Linked DNA regions of Neodiprion lecontei. Each later gene encodes a partner of the first gene's protein in a complex. Links are inferred from orthologs where the notes say so. Each region holds a gene or a part of one and is shown on either strand. Other genes may lie near its edges.

Region 1 (3,931 bases):
GATCGCTGGTCACACTGATCCACAAACTGCGGATTTCAGGAATATCAAATAAAGAAACTATCTGCAAATAAATGCTCCAAGCCTATGACAAGTTTTTAATTTTTTATTATTCCACATGTACAACACTGCGGTGACATACACATAAATGATGTATCAAATGGATTTAAAATTTCATTCTGTGGGGATATTGGCTGCTTCGAAGACCGAACATCGCTGACAAATAAGTGAAGAGCAATTTTTTGTCCTGGTGTTTCTTGATGGCTCCAATAATTAGTGTATCCACAGTTTTCTGGTCGATCTTTCTCTGTTCAGAAGGTTTGTAGTCTACTTTCTTTGTGCTGAAGATATCTCCCTCTTCTTTCTTGGCACGCTTGTTCTGGGTCCTTTTGTAATATTCGTCCTTTCCTACTTCTTTGGGTAGTTTCACACCAGAAAGGTCGATCTTTGTCGATGTAGCTATCACGTAATTCTGGCTAACACGACGTAAAGGACAAGCGTTGATTAGGAATGGACCTGTAAAATGTTAATCGTGTGACAATTTATTCACAAAATGATAATGGCAATAAAATACTAACAGAAAAGATAAAACTAACTCTGTTTACTTCAAAGTAGTTCTAAATATATGAACTAAGACAACTTTACTGCACACTTTTTTGAACACTATAAATGTCTGAAACTGCGTCATCTGTCGTTTCAATCGTATGTGTTAAAATACACACAAAACACTAAGGCCTTATTTTTCTGAAAAAATAGAGGAACTATTTTCTACTGCAATACATAATGTTTATTCGAATGAATTCAATTCTTCTGCACTTGTGAGGAGCACATATGGAACGCCCACTTACCAGTTACTAACAAAAGACCACTACGAAGCTGCTTCAAGAAAACAACTCGCTTTCCCTTGTGGGGCCCAGCCAACAAAATCAGGATTGTACCAGGAGTGATGGTGGGTCTGAGTCTGCGAACATGTTCACGGAAAGTTTTCTTTGCATGGTGAACAGTGACTGGATCAGCAGTAGGGTAGTTCTTCCTCCTCTTCTTAAGCAGAACTAATCTGGTACCTCCATTTTTATCACCACCAATCTTCTTTTCAATGGTCACAGGCTTCTTGGGCTTTACCTACAATGCAGGTGATTAGTTTACATTGGTGGTTTAGCAAAATTTCATTACAAAATCAAATTATAAATTGGGCCGATTAATTGCCTTAAATCAAAGAACATCCGATAAACCATTATTTTGATTGAAAAATTGTTACAATATCGGATTACAACAGTGTGAGAGAAAAATGATGTTTAAGCAATGCTAAAAATATACAAAGTTTCTAGAGAACTTTCTCACAGTTAAGCTGGGTTACTAAAACCAATGTTAATAAAGATTTAGAAAATTATGCGTTAATGCTTGTACGACTCTTGGCAATTAAATGTTGCGACTTCACACCCACTTTGTTTAGATAAACAACAAATCGGTTGGTAATTTCATCGCTTTAATTTCCCTTTCATTAAATTATGGAGCTATAATGTGCAAGAACCACCTTGGATTAGAAGGGATTATTACCTATAATATTGGTCAGATCAAATTATTTTTTTATGAGTTTTTAACTGATACCAGCATCAACTTTCATAATATTCAGTATCAATATGAAGAATTATTTGGAAAAATTACAAGACTCAAGTTTTTAAAATTTCTTTGAGTGATAGAATTTGCTATTGTTTAATTTTCAAAAAATATTAAAAAAAATTTTTAGCAAATTGATAATCTGACGCAAGTTTTACCTGGAATACTACAATATGGAAAAAACCTAAGTGATGGCTTTTTCTACATTGTACATTTACTAAATTTCAAACATTAACTTACAGTTTTCTCGGTCTTCTTGCCAATGAACTTGTAAAGAGCTTTTTTGTGATACATTCGAGTTCGGCTGAACCTGTAGACTCCATTTCCTAAATCACGATTTCTTGGTTTGCCACGGACCTTGCGTCCATCCTTTTTGGCCTCAGTAGCCGCAGGTTTGGCCGGAGCCTTCGCTTTAGTATCCACCATCTGTAATAAAATTATGACTCAATCAGAACTGAAACACTTTAAAAACCCAAAAGTAAAATAGTCGTAAAAGTGCAGTAGGATATGAAAAGTTTCCTGTATGGTCTAATGGATCTTGATTCAGTAATGAAAACACATCACAGAACTGTTCAGTTGAATTGTAATGACACGTTAGGCGATGCACACTGTAATCTAGGGGAGAGGTTATGTTTAGTTAAAATTAAGACAAATGCATTAACTCATTCATCTCAGAGATTGGAGATCACAGTTTTTATATAGACTCTTGGATACAAGATATCACGTACGAAATTGATGATATGTATATAAAAATATCGAAACAAAGAATAAACAGCATTTAACGTGAGGAGCTAGACGTATCGACGTCCGTGTCGACATGCCATATAAACATTTTAACTGTTGATGCAAAAAATGTGACGAGTTATAGAAATATTAGGCGCAAATTGAAGTAGGCGAATTAAACTGATGTTATTTGATATAACTCCCAAACCAGTACGACCAAGAACGTTAGATTATTTGGATTCTCTGAAGAAAATTACGGCGGCTGATACTTACGTCGAAGCCAGCGGATGGTTGAAAGAGCCTCCATCTGCCGAACGAGGCTGGAAATAACCACTTAGGGCACACGTTTCCGGTCTAAGCGCAACGCGCGTTTTCTGCCGATTTTAAAAATTATTACACATATTCCATGCCAAACCCAACATATAGCTGCATACTTGGCATCAATGAAGCCTTTTACTGTCTTAACATTGCTACTTATAGTGGCTAGATATTTGCAACAAACGTTTGTACATTTTCGTGTTGCAATAGAATTAATAAATGTTCCAAAACGTAACTTTCAGCGTTAACTGACTGTCAGTTCTGATTCAAGCAATGTGAGTTACTTTCCTACGCCTTAGCGTGGTTTTCAATTTGGTAAAAACACTGTTAAATTAAAAATCTTCATTGCGGTGCTATTCAATTGCTGAACCAGTATGGACCAACATTTTCAGCTTGGACTTTACTCTGATCGGAGCCATGATCGGAGATAACGCAGAAGGCGAACCAATCCCGAAGCCTTTTTAAGCGGAATGCCCGAAGTCCGCTGATGTGAAGTCAGCCCCGGCTACGGGGGGATATCACGATAACGGCCGAATCTCCGTTGTCTGGCTTCGGGTTAAAAAATTCTCGGATTAGTCATCTGCAACATATCCGCGAGAAAACCACTCGTCGTCAGTCGCGTCGCAACTCTGAAACAGCGTAGGCAGGAGTCAGGTTTGCGGTGACTCGCGAGCGCGCAGCCACTCGAGAGAATCTCGTTACCCGTGCGGCTGTCAGGAGTCGAGGCTGCCAACGAAGATGCCCTCGTCCCCGAGAAGTCCTGGATCTGCGGACGGATACCAGCGTTTCGACGATGAGCCAAACGTCACTTTACGTTTAGAGGGTTCCTACGGAGCGAGTCCAAGTAAGCAGTTGCTTTAATTCCTCCGTTACGCGGGACGTGAAAACGAAAAGAAACTTTTACATTGGATTAAATTGGCAATTTGCTCCAAAAGATATTTATTATACATACTCGAACATGATGCAGTAGTGAATGATTTAGTTTCTTCAATTACTCTTTTCTAAATCTCCACCTCGAACCGGATCTAAACTTGTGATCTCGGTTTTCATCTCATTCCAAAGATATGACTTAATTATGTGAAAAGTACAAAATTTTTTTCACATCTATTAGCTGTTCAATAAGTACTCTAATCATATTTGAAAAGTTTGATAAGATAGCTCTTTTTGCAGATAGATTTGGATGATGACTTTCTTTTATTAGTTTTTTTATTACGTCTGTGTGTCTATTCAATTGCCAGGAAATGTTAAACTCTACTCTTATACAGTTAAAGTTGTC
Region 2 (3,931 bases), on another chromosome or scaffold:
TCAAAAATTACCGTCAAATACAGATGTCTAAATCTACAAAATCCAGTACTCTTACCTCTCCTCAAACTTTACACGGGTCTGGAATCGGACCTTCTTGCGTTTCATGGGGTCCTTCAGGTCCTTGATTTGTGCCTTATCCAATGCTAGATCCACGGTGTACCGTGTTGGCATCAAGTGGTTATAATTCAACATCTGACAACAGAAAACCAAACAATGTAAAATAGGTGGCGTAACGATTTCTTTTGAAGAAATTTTTTTATGAAACTGTTTTCATTCCAATCACAAATCTGTGGTAACTTATTTATTAATTGATTCATTTAAAACTCACGAATTGCAGGATAAATTTACGAATTACAGATATTTGGAACAATGTAATAAAGTGTTTTATTATCAAACGACTGAAGCCTTCATTTTGTATTGGACTATAGCGAATGAACTGTGAGTAAACAACAAGGAGAAGAGAAACTCATTATCAAGGCTGGTAGTAGACAACTTCTTACATAAATATGAAATCAGACACAGTAGCAGTTTGTGACATGAGCGTAACGAGAAATTAAAAACCAATCACCTACTTTGCAATATTAAACTAACTTATAGGGGTTACAGATGCAGACCAGGTAAGCTTTGCTTCATTAAAATCATAATTGACTGTTCACCACATTTCTAAAAATACGGAAATTATGTGTAAAGACAGAAAAAACAAATAAATGTTATGTGTTGACTACATCAACTTTAACCCTTATGAGGCACAGTAGGGTTAAAATGACCCAAGTTCCATATGAAAAACATCCAAAATAATCTGATTTGATTCAAGATAAATAATGAAATATCGTAAGAAATGTTAATTCATTTTTTTCCCCAATAATTCAACTTTACTCACTCAAATAAATACCTATTATTCATCGAGCACTATCTCCATATTTTTTTTCTCAGATATCTGTACCTTGAAAGTCACTCAGTTAATTAATTTCAAGCACTAAATATTGAAAATTCATTTTATGATTTTTTGATTAGAATGATCCCGTTTTTGGTATTTTGTGGTCTATACATTTTTTTTTCATAACCAAAATTTCGTATTGCTGAGGACAACTAATTTGCCTTCAAATATAACAGTTAAAGAACAACCCAAAATGTTTTCAAGTTATTCGAATCGATATCTGTTTTCATGCAATGATTTTGTATCTGGGGTCTCTAGCGACTTTAGCGTGACACCAGTGTTATACACAGGTTGTGTGCAACGTAATGGTTAACATAATGAAAACAGTGAGCCGTTGATTGGGAAAATGAACTCATTAGGCCTACTTCGAATTCATTGAAAATAAAAAAAAAAAAATACTACTCCTTCATTTTTTTTAGACCATATTGATCTGTTTATAAATCATTTTACCAACTGTGGTACCAAGAATTATCAAGCTTCCTGACAAGATGACCATTTGGATTGGAAAAATTCATCTGCCAATATAGATTTTATTATGACCTTACTTATTCTTTCAACCTGATTTATAAGAAAAACTCACGTCTTATATTAAGCTCAACAAACGTGGCTTAAGCCCTTTGTAACATAGTGAGGAAATTTGGATATTATTGTTTTCCATTTTACTGTTACACAGTACAAAGTACCTATTAGGTATTGATTTATTTAACCTCTTTCTGTTTGCACATTAATATCAAGTCAACTAATAAGCTGAACGATAAATCCAACATTTGGAACGGTTTAGGGGCCTTTTCATCAATAGACTTTGGTTTATTGATTTCAACAAGATAACAAGATATTTTAGTTAAACAGCGACTAAAATTGTACTTTCCAACCATATTGATTCAAAATTTAATTATTTAGAATGTTTGAAGGGAAATTCAAGTTTACGGAGTAGAAACCCTGGAAGTTAAAGATACTCATATTGTACTTTTGGTGGGAAGCGTGGTATATAAATAGACTCAGGCTTCAGAACACACTTTAAAACCTCAATAAAAAAAAATTTCTTCAAGTGGCCATTTTACACAAGTTCAAAATGACTGTATAGCTATGAATACGAGTTTAACATTGTCAAACTAACCTTCACGAAGGGCTTTATCTTGGAACGTTTATGTAGTTTTCCTTTGCCCATACGCTTGTGTACCTTGCGAGGGTATCGATCGATGCCAGCAACCCAGGCATGGCCGTATTGTTTATCTGACGTACCGTCGTCAAAATTTCGCATTACTATAGCTTTGCGTCCAGCGTACCGGCCACTAAGGACCAGTACAACCTTCCCTACTTTCATAATCTTCACCATCTTGGTTTCCTGTAAAGGAAAAGAAAAGGGTTAAAACATTTTTGTTCGCTATCAATCTAATCTTTATTGTGGTTACTGGTGTTTGTTATTCAATGTTAAATTAACAATTTGGTGAAAGTTTCAAAATCATAGTAATGCATCGTGTAAAGTAACGTGCTGACAGTAGGTAGCTGTATACATTCCGGAATGTCCGACATAACCTGTAAGTGCAAGTGTGTGAAACGAAAGTTTGGTAATGCAACGGATCGTTGAATTTAGATTTGACGATGTTATTCAATGAGATTTGTTATTTAAACGCAGGTGAGTAAATGAAAAATCTTCCGTGTCTGAGGAATCATACGAATAAACAAACGTGTATGTGGCATAGGAGGTGCTGCCGAGATTCACAATTATTAACGAATAACACTTGCACGGTAAAAAACGAATTCTTAGCTCATAAAACGCACAATAATGTTACGATTTCCGAGGTAATTAATGCGCAGTCTTATTACTTCAGAAAATGCCGATGTTCGTAGATTATTTTAACCATTACACGAGAACAGAACTTACGGTGTCTCCGCAAACCGGAAAAAAGAACTTGTCGTAGCTACCAACTGTGGTTAGGACTCGATATTCGAATACCTCGCGTTGAGCCTACTTCCGGCGATGTCTAATCGCGGGACTCTTGACTTTTCACAAAAATTAAACGTGATTTACACAGATAGAATAACGATATAACACAATGCCTATGCATTAAAATAATCAAAATTATATAATTTACTCTCGTTTTACCAATTTATCAATCCGTTTACTCATGCATATGACCGAAGACGTCGTTGACTGAAGATATACGTTGGAGATATCAGACGTGTCATGTGTGATCGCTATTATCGCCAAGCGCAATATACCTACAAAGAAAATAGTTTGAGCATAACTGTCTCGATTTTCAGTGAAAATTGAAACGATGGAAGACTCGTGAATTCAATATTTGACGCTGAATATATATTCTCTCACGTATATTGCGTACATCTTTCGCATTGGATATTTTCGAAATTATACCAAGTGTTACCAACCTTACCTTGCAAATATTAAAGATCCCTACAATTCAGATGCCTTTCAGAAGGCCAACTGCCAACAATGTCGAGTGCCGGTGACTAATAGCTTGTGAGACACCGGCGATATTGGTTTACGACGATTAACCTATCATAACAAATAGCACTGTAGTTACTTGGTAATTGAAAATAATTCAACTGATCAATGGAAAATTTGACAGGGTGTTTAGGAAAGTTAGCCGTGATTTGCGAAGTTCTCATCTAGTTTTGTAAGTGCCGATAAACCACAAATAAGAAGGGAGAAGAAAAAAACTATCCCACAAAGGAATACAGAGGATAAAAACATTCTAAAAATTGAAAATTATGTTCAAACATGAGTGAAATCGCACTTGAGTTATCAGACATTCAAGAATTGAATGACCATGAAGGTAGAAACTGATTGTTATCATTGTATCAGAATGTAATCAATATATCAACAAATAGATTGTGCTGAATGATTGCTGCGAGCTAATTTTTTTGAAGAAGTTATTTTACTGCTTATTAATAAAAATTTTCGAATGTATTTACCTGCATAAATAACTTGATTTGTTTATACATCAACAGATTATGGAATCTACAAAAAATACG

The links.
Region 2: 60S ribosomal protein L6 (region 1) and 60S ribosomal protein L27 share a complex: the UniProt entries of both Caenorhabditis elegans proteins name them as parts of the large ribosomal subunit. The link is inferred for Neodiprion lecontei from reciprocal best matches to the Caenorhabditis elegans genes rpl-6 and rpl-27.

What each region holds. Positions count from the first base shown.
Region 1 is NC_060262.1:33,930,448-33,934,378, reverse strand, and holds 60S ribosomal protein L6, read right to left. Parts: upstream 2,300-3,931; 5' UTR 2,285-2,299; coding exon 2,276-2,284; intron 2,041-2,275; coding exon 1,855-2,040; intron 1,120-1,854; coding exon 846-1,119; intron 514-845; coding exon 164-513; 3' UTR 86-163; downstream 1-85. Other genes in the region: two pore calcium channel protein 1, read left to right, coding at 3,394-3,499. UniProt on the Caenorhabditis elegans protein: Component of the large ribosomal subunit.
Region 2 is NC_060264.1:8,653,356-8,657,286, reverse strand, and holds the start of 60S ribosomal protein L27, read right to left. Parts: upstream 2,847-3,931; 5' UTR 2,720-2,846; intron 2,283-2,719; 5' UTR 2,274-2,282; coding exon 2,055-2,273; intron 193-2,054; coding exon 56-192; intron 1-55. Other genes in the region: uncharacterized protein LOC107219125, read left to right, coding at 3,678-3,732, 3,908-3,931. UniProt on the Caenorhabditis elegans protein: Component of the large ribosomal subunit.